Macaca fascicularis: one gene and its partners. The protein of the gene in region 1 purifies or fractionates together with the protein of each later gene. This does not show direct contact. Links are inferred from orthologs where the notes say so. Each region holds a gene or a part of one and is shown in the gene's direction. Other genes may lie near its edges. The genes, in order: PSKH2, CDC37 and HSP90AB1.

The links.
Region 2: the proteins of PSKH2 (region 1) and CDC37 purify together in Homo sapiens (affinity purification with mass spectrometry; 3 studies listed by BioGRID and IntAct, counting the BioPlex papers as one, with this or other methods). This does not show direct contact. The link is inferred for Macaca fascicularis from reciprocal best matches to the Homo sapiens genes PSKH2 and CDC37.
Region 3: the proteins of PSKH2 (region 1) and HSP90AB1 purify together in Homo sapiens (affinity purification with mass spectrometry; 3 studies listed by BioGRID and IntAct, counting the BioPlex papers as one, with this or other methods). This does not show direct contact. The link is inferred for Macaca fascicularis from reciprocal best matches to the Homo sapiens genes PSKH2 and HSP90AB1.

The regions. Positions count from the first base shown.
Region 1 is NC_088382.1:95,809,791-95,815,639, reverse strand, and holds the start of PSKH2 (serine/threonine-protein kinase H2), read left to right. Parts: upstream 1-1,766; 5' UTR 1,767-1,861; coding exon 1,862-2,046; intron 2,047-5,849.
Region 2 is NC_088393.1:10,957,644-10,962,942, reverse strand, and holds part of CDC37 (hsp90 co-chaperone Cdc37), read left to right. Parts: intron 1-1,829; coding exon 1,830-2,105; intron 2,106-2,336; coding exon 2,337-2,598; intron 2,599-2,690; coding exon 2,691-2,806; intron 2,807-2,890; coding exon 2,891-3,013; intron 3,014-3,948; coding exon 3,949-4,131; intron 4,132-4,231; coding exon 4,232-4,303; intron 4,304-5,299. UniProt on the Homo sapiens protein: Co-chaperone that binds to numerous kinases and promotes their interaction with the Hsp90 complex, resulting in stabilization and promotion of their activity. Inhibits HSP90AA1 ATPase activity.
Region 3 is NC_088378.1:127,264,083-127,268,348, reverse strand, and holds the end of HSP90AB1 (heat shock protein HSP 90-beta), read left to right. Parts: coding exon 1-14; intron 15-461; coding exon 462-627; intron 628-830; coding exon 831-1,021; intron 1,022-1,143; coding exon 1,144-1,291; intron 1,292-1,406; coding exon 1,407-1,675; intron 1,676-2,164; coding exon 2,165-2,498; intron 2,499-2,608; coding exon 2,609-2,718; 3' UTR 2,719-3,001; downstream 3,002-4,266. Other genes in the region: SLC35B2 (adenosine 3'-phospho 5'-phosphosulfate transporter 1), read right to left, coding at 3,812-4,266. UniProt on the Homo sapiens protein: Molecular chaperone that promotes the maturation, structural maintenance and proper regulation of specific target proteins involved for instance in cell cycle control and signal transduction. Undergoes a functional cycle linked to its ATPase activity.

The DNA.
Region 1 (5,849 bases):
TATGCTGTGCGATCCTTATGCAAACAATCCTTACAACAGGCTCTCTGAGGAATGCATTTTGGTTTTTTCCTGAGCAGTACCTTAACATCTGACTTCAGTTTGTTCCCTTTGTTTCTGTCTTCCATTCTGTTTATACTATTAGGTTGATGCAAAAGTAATTGCAGCTTTTGCCTTTATTTATTTATTTATTTATTTATTTATTTATTTATTTTTGACATGGAGTCTCGCTTTGTCACCCAGGCTGGAATGCAGTGACGGGATCTCAACTCACTGCAACCTTTGCCTCCCAGGTTCAAGCAGTTCTCCTTCCTCAGCCTCTCAAGTAGCTGGGTCTACAGGCACGCACCACCAGGTCTAGCCAGTGTTTGTATTTTTTGTAGAGATGGAATTTCACCATGTTGGTCAGGGTGGTCTAGATCTCCTGACCTCGGGTGATCCACCTGCCTCGGCCTCCCAAAGTGCTGGGATTACAGGTGTGAGCCACTATGCCTGGCCTTGCCTTTACTTTTAATGGCAAAAACACAATTGCTTTTGCTCCAGCCTAATAAATAGCCTATTCTGCAAATTAATTCAAAAGCTCAAGACATGTAAGAACGAGTTGTTTACCTGCTTAAAATAAACCTTGTTTCCTTGTTTCTTAGTAGTTGGAAAATTCTGAGGGTTCTTTAGGAAGAAAAGTCCATTATTTGGTAGTTATGCTCTCTTTGCAGGATGAACTAATTTTCCCTCAGCTATATGCAAGCCATATTTTAAATTTTCCATCAAAATATAGCTCTGGGAAAATTCATGACTACTTTATTCATCACAGACATTCCTTGTTAAACCAAACTACAAATTAAATGAAATTAGAAAGGAAATTACACAAATTGAAGTAGCACTGGCCTGGAAATCAGGAAACAGCCTCCAGTTCCAGTTCTACAACTTGTGAGGCATGTGATCTTGATTTGCTTGATCGTGACTGGATTTCATTTCCCACACATCATTTTTGTGTGTGTGTGTGTGTGTGTGTGTGTGTATGAATGAATATAATTGACAAATGTCAATGAGGTCTAATCAATATAGTGATATAATCAATATACCTTTATCAAAATGATAAATATTTATAAGTATAATACTGTGTGTGTATAATTTATATACACACATTCACATACATGTATAATATATATAAATAACATAAGAATGAAATGTATAGAAAATGTAAAGTTACTATATATATTTATATATACACACACATATATATACACATACATATATACACACACACACACACACACACACACACACAGGTTTTCTCCTTGTATTTGCTTAGGGTGTTCGTCTGGGTTCTAAACATCTACTGTGGCCCTAAGTTTTTCTGTCTTAGATGGATTACCCGTAAGATGGTCATGAGGGCCAGACACAGGCCTTTGTCAACTGTTTAATGCAATAGAAGGCAGTGAAGTTCTACTTTAAATATTATAAGCTCTTAGAATTTTAATTGTTCATGTCATCCGAATATGAGCTCAGCGAAAAGTTCTTTAGAGGGACGATATCCTTTATAGAATCGTATAACTGTATATGTTCACTTCCTCAGGTTAGAGATGCAGAAAGTGAAGCCCAGAGAATTAGGCGCAGGCTCTGCCTGCTGGTTGACTTTGCTTTCATCACGTCAGATTACACACACAGACGGTGACCAGCGATGCTCCAGGCATCTCGGTCGTCAGCGGGTATCCTGAGGGCTGTCCGCCTGACCGCGACCCCCCAGTGGGGTTTCTTTCCGAGTGTGCCGCCCCTCACAGCTGCTCTGGGATAAAGGGCGGAGGAACAGAGCTGGCTGCTCCCCGAGTCCCCGGGTCCTGCGAGCGCCGGTCGTGTTGCGGGTATGGGGTGCGGCGCCAGCAGGAAGGTGGTCCCGGGGCCGCCAGCGCTGGCCTGGGCCAAGCACGAAGGTCAAAGTCAAGCCGGCGTCGGAGGTGCGGGGCCACGGCCCGAGGCGGCGGCCCAGGCGGCGCAGAGGATACAGGTGGCTCGCTTCCGAGCCAAGTTCGACCCCCGGGTCCTTGCCAGGTAAAGCGCCACGTGAGGAACTGGCCTGGGACTGGGCTGACAAAGAAAAATCCCTGGCCAAGACCGCCTCAAGGTTTCCTTCAGCTTGACTCAATTTTGGACAGGGTTCTTTCGGATGATAGACCACTGATCTACCCTTCTCTGCCCTTTTAAGATGTAAATCTTCTACAACCCAAGAGTGTCCTTTTCAAGCACCTGGGAGCCATCCCTTTGAAATGTAGTCATCAAGAGAGTCAGGGCCACTGTCTCCCAGTCCCTGTGGGAGGGTAGGAGCCTAACTTCCATTAGGGCCAGGCAGCAAACACAGATCTCATTGACCACCTCTCCCTAACCTTCCCCCATTCTTTTCCACTAGCTCACCCCAGAGCTTAAAAACTTTCTTGCCTTTTCTTTCAAAGGCGTCCATTTCCTTTCCTCTGTTGCAGAAGCCTTGACCCCTATTGCAATAGTCTGGGATAAGCCTTCTTTGCTGTGTTCCATAAGTGCCCAGTACAATTTATCTTTGACATCTCTGAGCAGGGAGTTCAGAGGATGGGAAAAAAGAGAGCAGGAGCAGCAGCAAACAAGGGAAAGAATTCCTGTCTTCAGAGGTGGGGTGTGGGGCTGTGAGAGGACTGCCTACCAACCTCCAGCGTCTGTGGCAGAAGACAGCTTTGCCACCAATATCCTAGGGCTGGGTCCTACCAGACCTGGTGTGTGAAGGATCTTCCACTAAATTCTAAAAATTGGGATTACAGTGAGTGAACTAGAGACACGCCTTTGAGTCAGCCAGGCTTAAGGTCCAGTTCTATCTCTTCTATCATGTACCATTTCGACTATTCCTTAGCTTTTTTCCTTCCTTAGTTTCTGCCTCTGTAAAATGGGAGTATCTATCTCATAAGACTGTTGGCAGCATAATTAAAGTAATACATGCAAATTATGCTGCACAGTGCATGGCACCAGTCCTCCTGTAGACATTAGTGCAATGCTGATTACTGTCTTCATGAAGTACAAATAAGCCCTCGCTATGTAGAAGATTGCAAGTTGGTTGGCCTCCTCAGAGTGTACCATGTTGGACATGTTGGACATTTTGACCAAGTAAATCACAGAATCCCCTTCTCCTCTGTGTGTTTGGGGGCACACAATAATGGGTGGCTCAGCTGGCTTCCCAAGGCACTTCTGGTCCTAGAATTGCACACTCACTTCATCACAGTGCTCTGTCCAGAATCTATGCAGAGCCATTTCCTGGCTCTTTGAGAACTTTTAATGACTCCTGGAGGATTAGTCCAGTGGCTGCTAAGTTTAGAGAAGAATAAAACTGACTAATATGACTGAACTGAATCTGAGTAGGTACAGGGTCTTGTCAAGACTGAATTGGTTAAATAGCATCTCTGGTCATTTGTAGTCAGAGAGTTGATGCTAGTCTGATCTAGTCTTCATCCACCCTCCTCATTCCCAATCCCCGGGTAGACCCAGCCCCATAGAGTGTAAAGGGATCACAGAAGTAGAGGATCTCAACATTACAAGGGCTTCAGAGACTGTAACTCAAGGCTCATCTTTAACCAATGAGTAGTTGAGTTCCCAAAGGTTAAGTGATGACTTGTCCAAGTTAATGGTAGAATTGGGACTAGAACACAGTCATCTTTCTTCTCCATTGTGATTCCATCTATAACTTTTGCAGAAAAGAGATGATAGAATTTAAATATGAGTATATTTACTTTCTTTTTTTTCTTTTTTTTTTTTTTGAGACGGAGTCTCGCTCTGTCTCCCAGGCTGGAGTGCAGTGGCCGGATCTCAGCTCACTGTAAGCTCCGCCTCCGGGTTTACGCCATTCTCCTGCCTCAGCCTCCCAAGTAGCTGGGACTACAGGCACCCGCCACCTCACCCGGCTAGTTTTTTGTATTTTTTTAGTAGAGACGGGGTTTCACCGTGTTCGCCAGGATGGTCTCGATCTCCTGACCTCATGATCCGCCCGTCTCAGCCTCCCAAAGTGCTGGGATTACAGGCTTGAGCCACCGCGCGCGGCTATATTTACTTTCTTGTTGGGAGTTTATTACAATTGTTTCTCTCAAGCAGATTGTGACATTATTATTATTTTCTTGTTTCAAATCTTTATGTTCAAAAATTCCCAGTTTGTATAATAGCAACTGAGGTTAAAGTAATATTTCCAATTTATGTAGTCTCTGGAATGATACAAAATAGCCCCACCTATAAACTGACTTTGAGGCTACTCTTTTAAGAGAGTGGAGGGGTAAAAGTGAAGGAAATGAAAAGACCTTATAGAGGCATTCTTCCCTGTTTGATGTGATTTTTACTTAATATTTTCAATATATATATGATGATTCAGGAATAATATGTATTCGGTGAATGATTCTTTTGTTCAATGTTTATTGCTACTTCTCTGTGCTAGGCACTTTACAAGGTATAATCACGCAAATCATAAAGATGGTCACCGTTCATGGCTGTTGAGGACTCATGAGCAAGGCTGCAGCTGTAAGAATTTGTTATGGGACAAATTGAATAACAATCTGAAGCATTTACTTCCACCACTCTAAATCTTGGCTTAAAGTGTACTGTTTCCTCCAATGCCAAATTACTAGCAATTTTTCAAATATTGGAAATATGAAGGCCCCTTAACAGTATTGAAAAAAGCTTCTTTTATTTGAGCAAAAGAGTGTAGTTCTCAGAAATGGTAGTTTGTTTGATATGATTAATTCTGTGAACAAATGAGTTTGGTGGCAGCTTTGAGGGCATGGCGATAAATTAGCATTTGCAGAGTGCTTTCATCCATAATAGAGGTAATATAAAACTTGGTTGGTCTGCAAAGCAATAGAATTTGAAATGCCTGTGATTATCTTCAAAATCACACTGGGAATGCATGTAAATAAAAAAGCAGAGATGGAAAGGGAAAAGGGGAAAGAATCTATTTAAGATTACTAAATTGCTATCTGTTTTGATAAGGTAATTGGCCAGAAAATTAAGTGCTCTGTGGAGAACAAAGCTGTTTTCTGTAATCTGGTACAGCCAAACGTCATTTTTATTCAATACACACAGGAATATAAAGAACAAACAAGAAGGCAAAGAAAAAAAAACGTTACAGGAAAAATAAGCTCAATAAAAGAAGTAAGACTATTTAAAGAATAGTTTAGTATTTGTATTTGAATCTTCAGTATTGAATATGTGGTATAAAAATGTGCCTTCTCCCTGGGTGCTCCCTGAGTACATTCCATTCTCTGTCATCCTTAGCTAGGAGAGGTTTTATTAAAATGAAGTCTGGGTACAGTGGCTCACATCTGTAATCCCAACACTTTGGGAGGCTGAGGTGGGCAGATCACTTCAGGTCAGGAGTGCAAGACCAGCCTGGCCAACAAGGTGAAACCCCGTCTCTAATCTAAAAAAAATACAAAAATTAGCCGGGCAAGGTGGCGTGCACCTGTAATCCCAGCTACTCAGGAGGCTGAGACAGGAGAATCACTTGAACCCAGGAGGCAGAGGTTGCAGTGAGCCAAGATCATGCCACTGTACTCCAGCTTGGGTGACAGAGCAAGACCATCTCAAAAAAAAAAAAAAAAAAAAAAAAAAAAGAAAAGAAAAGAAAAAGAAAAAAGAAAAGAAAGGAGACCTGTGTTCTAATCCTGACTCTGCAACGATTGGCTAATGTGTTCTTTAAATTTCCTCATTGGTAAAACAAGAAGTTGGATTAAATACCCAACTTTAATATTCTTTCCAGCTGTAAAATAATGATTTTAAGTCTAGCATTTTCTCGACACATCTTAAATATGAGTTAGAGGGCTAAATTTGATAGGATTCCTTTTTAATTTTTT
Region 2 (5,299 bases), on another chromosome or scaffold:
GCTCTGAATAGAACAGCCCCCACTGAGGTTCAGGAGGGGTGATGGTGGAGCCACATAGGGGTCTCCGGAGGGTCCTGAATGATCCGATGGGGACCCAGATGGAGGTCTGAGCGAGGCAGGGAGTGAGGTGGGGACCAGGAGCCTGAGGAGATGAGGCATTGTTATCAGGAGAAAGGAATGCCTGGGGAGTGACATCTGGGGCTTGGGTGAGCGGGAAGCAGGTAGACACCAAGCTGGGGCTCAGGAGGGCATGCTGGGCTGGAGACAGAGCTAAGGGGGCCTAGGCAGTGATCCTGGAGCAAGGTTATGGGTGGAACAAAGAAACATCTAGAAGGGGCCCTGGTACAGTGGCTCATGCCTGTAATCCCAGTAATTTGGGAGGCCAAGGTGGGTGGATCACTTGAGGTCAGGAGTTCCAGATCAGCCTGACCAACATGGAGAAACCTGGTCTCTACTAAAAATATAAAATTACCCTGGTGTGGTGGCGCATGCCTGTAATCCCAGCTACTCAGAAGGCTGAGGCAGGAAAATCTCTTGAAAACGGGAGGCAGAGGTTGCAGTGAGCCAAGATCGTACCACTGCACTCCAGCCTGGGCGACTCCATCTAAAAAAAAAACAAAAAAAAAACAATAGCTGGGCATGGTGGTTTCTGTGCACCTTTAGTCCTAGCTAGTTGGGAGGTTGAGGCAGGAGGATCTCTTGAGCCTGGGAGGTCAAGGCTGCAGTGAACCATGATCGCACCACTGCACTCTAGTCTGCATGACAACAAGACCTTGTTCAAAGAAAACCAAACAAAATAAAAACAAAAAAACAAGCATTTGCTGAGCCCCTGCTTTGCGCCAGGCCAAGTTCCTGGTTCTGGAGACAAAATGGCAAACACATTCCCATATTTAGAGAGCGGGGCGGGGCAGTACCCAAAAACGTGATAAATAATTGTCATATGATGTGAGTGGTGGCTGGTGTTGAGGCAGGGAATTCCAGACGGGGGCAGCGGGAGGTTGCCATCAATAGGAAGGTGGTTAGGGAAGGGGTCCTCGCTAAGGCAACATGGAGCCCAGATGGTGCGGGTGCCATAGAGTCAGCTGTGGGGGGATCTGAGGGAAAATCATTCCAAGTAGTTGGAACAGCCAGTGTGAAGGCCTTGAAGTTCAAGAAAAAAGCAGGCTCTGCAGAGCAGAGTGGCTCCTGCCTGTGGTCCCAGCACTTTGGGAGGCCAAGGCGGAAGAGTCGCTTGAACCCAGGACTTCAAGACCCGTCTGGGCAACATGGCGAAACCCCATCTTTACTGCAAATACAAAAATTAGCTGGGCGTGGTGGTGCACACCTGTAGTCCCAGCTACTCGGGAGGCGAGGTGGGAGGATTGCCTGAGCCCAGGGAGGTCGAGGCTTCAGTAAGTCGTCATTGGGCCACTGCACTCTGACCTGGGCGACAGAGTGAGACCCTGTTTTTTTGTTTTTTTTCTAAAAGAAAAAAAAATGGTCTCAAGAAAAGGTGAGAAAAGTGAGGGGCCAGTGTGGCTGGAAGGAAGAGTTAGCAGGGGAGGTGCTGGGGCAGATTGTGTAGGGCCTACGTAGGCTGTGGTGACAACCTGGACTCTGCTCTGAGTGAGATGGGAGCCGCCAGGGTTCTGAGCGGAGGACGGAGGGACCGGACCCCACTTGGGTGTGCGTCGGCACCTGTGGGGGCAGGGGCGGAAGCTGGGAGACCAGGGCACGGGAGGTGGAGGCATACTTTTTCCCGGGGCCATCTCTGGTGCGGGGATTGGGTATGGGGCTGGGGGTAAGGGACAGGCCGCTCCCCAAAGTTGATAGGCCGCCCCTGCCCGCAGGCCCGGGTGGAGCGCATGGAGCAGTTCCAGAAGGAGAAGGAGGAACTGGACAGGGGCTGCCGCGAGTGCAAGCGCAAGGTGGCCGAATGCCAGAGGAAGCTGAAGGAGCTGGAGGTGGCTGAGGGCGGCAAGGCAGAGCTGGAGCGGCTGCAGGCCGAGGCACAGCAGCTGCGCAAAGAGGAGCGGAGCTGGGAGCAGAAGCTGGAAGAGATGCGCAAGAAGGAGAAGAGCATGCCCTGGAACGTGGACACGCTCAGCAAAGACGGCTTCAGCAAGGTGTGCGGGGCGGGCGGGGCGGGCAGTGCACTTGCGCAGCCAGCGAGTATGCAGCCAGGACGCATGCGCACCCAATGCCTGGTCAGGGGAGGACCGCGGCGGTGTAGTTGAAGAGTGTGGTGTGGGGCAGAGAGCTGAGGGACGGACGGGGGCCACGTGGGAGGGGGGACAGGCTTGGAGGGCCGGGCGGATGAAACACCCCACCGGTCCCCTCCTCTGATCTGCCCCAAGGCCCATGCCCACGCTCCCGCCACCTTGATGCTCATGGCTTCGTCACCACCTCCGCCGTGGATGGGATGGGCGCTGCGGCCACGGCCCGCCCGGCCGCACTCGAGGCGCTCCGCAGCCTTGCCCCAGCCCACTCCCCCTCTCACCCTACCACAGAGCATGGTCAACACCAAGCCCGAGAAGACAGAGGAGGACTCAGAGGAGGTGAGGGAGCAGAAACACAAGACTTTCGTGGAAAAGTACGAGAAACAGATCAAGCACTTTGGTGAGTGGGGCGTGTGAGGTTATGGGGGGCAAGGTCGGGGCAGGCCCTTTGCCTCCAGGGCCCTCCAGCACCTTGCCAGCATCTTCCCACAGGCATGCTCCGCCGCTGGGATGACAGCCAAAAGTACCTGTCAGACAATGTCCACCTGGTGTGCGAGGAGACGGCCAATTACCTGGTCATCTGGTGCATTGACCTAGAGGTGGAGGAGGTGAGTGGAGCTTTCCCCAGGGCTGTGAAAAGGTGCTGCCCTGAGGCCGCCACTTGGTAACACTGTGCCTGTTCTCCCTGGCAGAAATGTGCACTCATGGAGCAGGTGGCCCACCAGACAATCGTCATGCAGTTTATCCTGGAGCTGGCCAAGAGCCTGAAGGTGGACCCCCGGGCCTGCTTCCGGCAGTTCTTCACTAAGATTAAGGTAGGGTCCCCTGAGCTGCCAGGTGGCTGGAGGCCCCCTCCCCAGGGAACCAGCCCACAGCGCTCTGGGTAAGGCCGACTCCTGTCCACTGGGACTCAAGCCCCTCCAATCACCGAATCCTAGATCAGGAGAGGGCGGGGCCAAGGAGGGGGAGAGAAGTGGGCGGATGCTGCCAGACTTTAAAAGTGGAGGTCAGGCCAGGCTTGGTGACTGAGTCCTATAGTCCAAGTCTTTGGGAGGCTGAAGCAGGAGGACCACTTGAGCTCAGGAATTTGTGAGCTGTGGTGTTCCACTGCACTCCAGCCTGGGTGACAGAGCAAAACTGCATTACAAAAAAAAATGGGAGCACTAGGATGTGCTGGAGGTCCCCATGTGGATATGTGGGTAAAGGACAGAGGTGAGGGTGCCTCTAGGGCTCTGGGCTTTTTTTTGTTTTTGAGACCCAGTCTTGCTATCACCAAGGCTGGAGTGCAATGGCGTGATCTCAGCTCACTACAACCCCTGCCTCCTGGGTTCAAGCAACTCTCATGCCTCAGCCTCCCAAGTAGCTGGCATTACAGGCGCCTGCCAGCCTCTCGGGTTTTTAACTTGCGCACCTGGAGGAACAGGGGTACCCTTACCAAGACTGGGGAGACCAAGGACAAGGCAGGCTGGGAGGTGGCCGTGTTGAGTTAGAGGTGCCCATGCAGGGACACTGAGGACACGAGTGTCTCGGATCTGCAGTAGAGCAGGGCTCCCAAGGAGGTGGTCTTTAGCAAATGCCAGATGAGGTCCCTGGCAGGGGAGCCCAGGCCTTGGGAAGCCCTTTATGTAAGTCAGGAACAGACTTAGGGAGCCCTGGGGCACCTCTGAGGAGCTGTGGCTGGAGGGTCCTGGGCCCCCAGTCCCTCCTGAGCACTGGGCCAAGTCTAGTGAGCACTGCCCGACCCCCATAGACAGCCGATCGCCAGTACATGGAGGGCTTCAACGACGAGCTAGAAGCCTTCAAGGAGCGTGTGCGGGGCCGTGCCAAGCTGCGCATTGAGAAGGCCATGAAGGAGTATGAGGAGGAGGAGCGCAAGAAGCGGCTTGGCCCCGGCGGCCTGGACCCTGTCGAGGTCTACGAGTCCCTCCCTGAGGTGCGGCTCCCCAGCCCAGGCGGGCGGCAGGAGGACCCTGAGCGGGACCCCCCAGGGCACAGGGACCCAGCCCCTGACCCCAGCCCTTCTATACCCCCAGGAACTCCAGAAGTGCTTCGATGTAAAGGACGTGCAGATGCTGCAAGACGCCATCAGCAAGATGGACCCCACCGTGAGTAACCCCCACGTCCCATGCCTTTCCAGCGGGCCATGTGTCTCCCCCAGCCCTGTGTCCCAAGTCTCTGAAGCCAGTTGGTGAAAGTGCCCCTTCAAGGCTTCTCCAAGGACTAAGGGGGGTCGTGTTACCTTGGCACACACCCACATTTATTGAGCACCTACTGTGTCCCAGCATCCAGCAGATAAATGCTGAGCTTTGAGCGTATGTCCCTTGTGACTGATAGTCACTGTTAATGTGACTGAGTCCAGCCTCAGTTTCCTTATGCAAACCATATTTTCTCTCAATATCAGCTCACAAAACGTGTGGGGAAAGGAGCTGAGCACACGGCAGGGGCTGGTAAATGCTGGCTGTTAATTGGATTTTGTCTGGTTTTTTTTTTTTTGAGACAGAGTCTCGCTCTGTCACCCAGGCTGGAGTGCAGTGGTGCTATTTCTGCTCACTGCAAACTCCGCCTCCCGGGTTTGCACCATTCTCCTGCCTCAGCCTCCCGAGTAGCTGGGACTACAGGCACCCACCACCATGCCCGGCTAATTTTTTGTATTTTTTAGTAGAGACGGGGTTTCACTGTGTTAGCCAGGATGGTCTCAATCTCCTGACCTCGTGATCCGCCCGCCTCAGCCTCCCAGAGTGCTGGGATTACAGGCGTGAGTCACTGCACCTGGCCATCTGTTTTTTTTTTTTTGACAGACAGGGTCTTCCTCTCTCACCCAGGCTGCAGCCTCCACCTCCCAGGCTCAAGTGATCCTCCCACCTCAGCCTCCCCAAGTACCTGGGATTATAGGCTGACACCATGACATCTCACTGATTTTTTTTCTAAAAATTATGTTTTTATAAAGAAGGTCTCACTGGCTGTATTTTTGGAAGTGGCAATAGACGTTGAATCTAAGTAGGACACGATTGACCCTATTCCTACCACTTGGCTCACTGGTTGGTCACCCTGGTTTTCTCGTCTGTAAAATGGGTCTAGCTGCAGGACTGGCCATGAGTTTC
Region 3 (4,266 bases), on another chromosome or scaffold:
ACTTGGCAGTCAAGGTGAGAAGCCTTTGCATGTTGGGTCAACATGCAAATATGGAGAGGAATAAGTGGAAGAGTGTTGGCAGGTAATAGACACATGGAACGTGTCCAGCTGATAACAGAAATGTGAGAGCTATGTATTTTCACTTACTGATTACCCGGTCATAGTGAAGTGCCATCCTTCCTAATGACCTCACTTTCTCTAAAGGAAATCTGGGTAATGTCTATTGGCAGCCTTACACATCCAGAGTTCTGATCAGAGCGGACTGTTTTCTATATACAGCTAGTATTCGTCTAGATCGTTGAGGGCATTAAGGCTCAGTTTTCTCGGGAACTGCCTGTGTGTGCGCTCTATCCGTTAGGCTTATGGGGAGGATCATTATTCCATTTTTAGGTAATTTGGTGTTGGGGCTAAAAGGCCCTCTTTTGAAATGTATCACTTGCTTATTTTTTGTTTTTTTTCAGCACTTTTCTGTAGAAGGTCAGTTGGAATTCAGGGCATTGCTATTCATTCCTCGTCGGGCTCCCTTTGACCTTTTTGAGAACAAGAAGAAAAAGAACAACATCAAACTCTATGTCCGTCGTGTGTTCATCATGGACAGCTGTGATGAGTTAATACCAGAGTATCTCAGTGAGTATCTCCTTGGCCTAATTTAGTTGGGTGAAGTCTTGGGAGGTTTTCGGCATTCTGCCAGAATATCCTAGGTTAAGGATTTTCTGCAATGCATAGTAAGTATAAGGGTTCAGGAGGCTATTAGAGCCTTCTGTTTGAATCTGGGTACCAGCTCTGGTCTAGCTATTTTTACTGAGCTTTCTTATCCTGGTTGATGGCAGATTTTATTCGTGGTGTGGTTGACTCTGAGGATCTGCCCCTGAACATCTCCCGAGAAATGCTCCAGCAGAGCAAAATCTTGAAAGTCATTCGTAAAAACATTGTTAAGAAGTGTCTTGAGCTCTTCTCTGAGCTGGCAGAAGACAAGGAGAATTACAAGAAATTCTATGAGGCATTCTCTAAAAATCTCAAGGTAAAGAAGCAAATGCTTATTCCCTTTACCACTTTCTTAGTAATTACTAACAAATTTTTCCATTCACATAGAAAGTGAATTGTAGTTAAGTTGGATTGTTTTTTCTCTTCCCACCCTTCAAGCTTGGAATCCACGAGGACTCCACTAACCGCCGCCGCCTGTCTGAGCTGCTGCGCTATCACACCTCCCAGTCTGGAGATGAGATGACATCTCTGTCAGAGTATGTTTCTCGCATGAAGGAGACACAGAAGTCCATCTATTACATCACTGGTGCGTTGGTTCTGATGGAAGCCTTTTTGGAGGAGTGGGGAGCACATTTCAGGGCTACCTAGGAACTGGCAGTATGAGGCATTTTAGTCACTGAGTCCATTTAATTACCCTACAGGTGAGAGCAAAGAGCAGGTGGCCAACTCAGCTTTTGTGGAGCGAGTGCGGAAACGGGGCTTCGAGGTGGTATATATGACCGAGCCCATTGACGAGTACTGTGTGCAGCAGCTCAAGGAGTTTGATGGGAAGAGCCTGGTCTCAGTTACCAAGGAGGGTCTGGAGCTGCCTGAGGATGAGGAGGAGAAGAAGAAGATGGAAGAGAGCAAGGCAAAGTTTGAGAACCTTTGCAAGCTCATGAAAGAAATCTTAGATAAGAAGGTTGAGAAGGTAAGCCATTCTGGAGCTAGGATATATTTTGTAACATACCTTTGAGGTGGGCTCCCTCACAATCATGTTTTTACACAATTAGTGGCTTGAGGCACCCTATTTACTGTTTGGAGCCTTCTTGCCTCTTGTTCTCTTCCCTAGCCAGGTTTAAGGCTATTTTAATAAAATTTGGCACAGATTAGGCATTGCTTCAGTTAACTTGTGAGAGTAGATAAAATATTATTTTCTTCTTTTTTTGACTGGATCTCAGCTCACTGCAAATTCAAGTCTCCTGAGTGGCTGGGATTACAGACATGTGCCACCACACCCGGTTAATTTTTTGTATATTTTGTAGAGAGAGGGTTTTGCCAGGTTGGTCTCAAACTCAAGTGATCGGCCCCACCTCCTCCTCCTCCCCCTGCTGGAATTACAGGCTTGACAGTGTCCGTTTTCTCTTTCAAAGTGGTCACTGATCTAATGCAAATCTAAGGCTTTTGTGATTGTCCACAGGTGACAATCTCCAATAGGCTTGTGTCTTCACCCTGCTGCATTGTGACCAGCACCTATGGCTGGACAGCCAATATGGAGCGGATCATGAAAGCCCAGGCACTTCGGGACAACTCCACCATGGGCTATATGATGGCCAAAAAGCACCTGGAGATCAACCCTGACCACCCCATTGTGGAGACTCTGCGGCAGAAGGCTGAGGCCGACAAGAATGATAAGGCAGTTAAGGACCTGGTGGTGCTGCTGTTTGAAACCGCCCTGCTCTCTTCAGGCTTTTCCCTTGAGGATCCCCAGACCCACTCCAACCGCATCTACCGCATGATCAAGCTAGGTCTAGGTAAGCAGCTTTGGTACTTGATGTGGCAAGGAGTTTGTGCAACTAGGCTCCTGTCTGGATTTGACTTAATGCTATTTAATCAAGTCTTACATGGCTTAATTTTACTTTAGGTATTGATGAAGATGAAGTGGCAGCAGAAGAACCCAGTGCTGCAGTTCCTGATGAGATTCCCCCTCTTGAGGGCGATGAGGATGCGTCTCGCATGGAAGAAGTCGATTAGGTTAGAAGTTCATAGTTGGAAAACTTGTGCCCTTGTATAGTGTCCCCGTGGCTCCCACTGCAGCCTCAAGTGCCCCTGTCCCACCTGGCTCCCCCTGCTGATGTCTAGTGTTGTTTTTCCTCTCCTGTCCTTGTGTTGAAGGCAGGAAACCAAGGGTGTCAAGCCCCATTCCCTCTCTACTCTGACAGCAGGATTGGATGTTGTGTGTTGTGGTTTATTTTATTTTCTTCATTTTGTTCTGAAATTAAAGTATGCAAAATAAAGAATATGCCGTTTTTATACACTTTTGCTCTCCCTTGTGAAGTGGATGTTTATTCTTCCCTAGCTTCTCTATCCCCCCCAGCTCTTGCTGTTTTCATGAGCACAGCAAGTTAAGCTGGTTTTGTAGCTAAGATACAGAATACCAGTGAGTCTTAAGAGTGCACACACTGAAGCTAAAGGCAGTTTTTCTGAAAAACTACCATATAATAATGCCTTTTCAGTCAAAACACAGGACCAAGTCCATTACTGTAATTTAATTTAATAAAATAAAATTATAAGAGCAAAAAGTTACATTTCTAAAGTACCAAAACCTACAACAGGCTCATGGAGTAGAGCCTAGGGATCCAGGAGCATAGGAGGTGGTGGTGCTGGGCAGGGATCTGCATCCCCTTTCCACAACACAGCACCATCTTCACTTCACCCTCCTGGGAAAGCAGCATTGGAGCCTACACCGCTTGTGCTTTTCTCACCAGGGTAAGAAATGCAGGTATTTGCAGAGGGGAGTCTGGAAGGCAGCAGAGCACAGCTAGGGCAAGACTTAAGGAAACTTCTGGGAGGGGGAACTGTGGAACCTACCTATGCCCTCTTGACCCCAAACTCCCCCTCACTGAGGACTATCTCTACCCTGGGGCTCAGAATAAACTGCCTGCTGGAAGATGGGTGACTTAAGGCAAAAGGGAAGGCTGCCTCCTGGGCTCCCCACCCCCTGCTGCAGAGTCTATGATACTGAGAAAACACCTGCATTTTGCCCTTTGAGCCAGCTCCCTCGGGTTACAGTAGGAGAAAATGGTGAGAAGACTATTTCACTTCACCCCTCAGGCCCTCTCCACCCTCAAACCTTCTGCACAGGAGACTCAACAGGCACAGCCTTCTTTCCCCGTTGCTTTAGACGGCCCCGCGCGTAGACTCTGAGTAGGAGGGCAGCAAAGACCACAGCCACTCCCAGCCCTCCCACCACAGTGACAGTGTGGCCATAGAGAAGGCAGGAAAGAAGGATGGCAAAGGCCTGGCGGAGGGTCATGATGATGGTGAAGACAGCAGCCCCGAACTGCCCAATGGTGTAAAAGATGAAGAGCTGGCCACATGCAGAGCAGATGGAGAGTAGCAGGGCATGGGCAGCAAACTCACTGTGTCGCCCCATGAAGCGGGTTCCCTCCAGGAGGGCCCCCTGTTCTAGCAGTGAGCCTACTGTGAAGAGGCAGGAGAAGAAATTGACCCCAAACATCATCTGCACCGATGACATCTTATAGGCAAATAGGGCATCCTGCCAGTTTGAAGTGAAGCTGT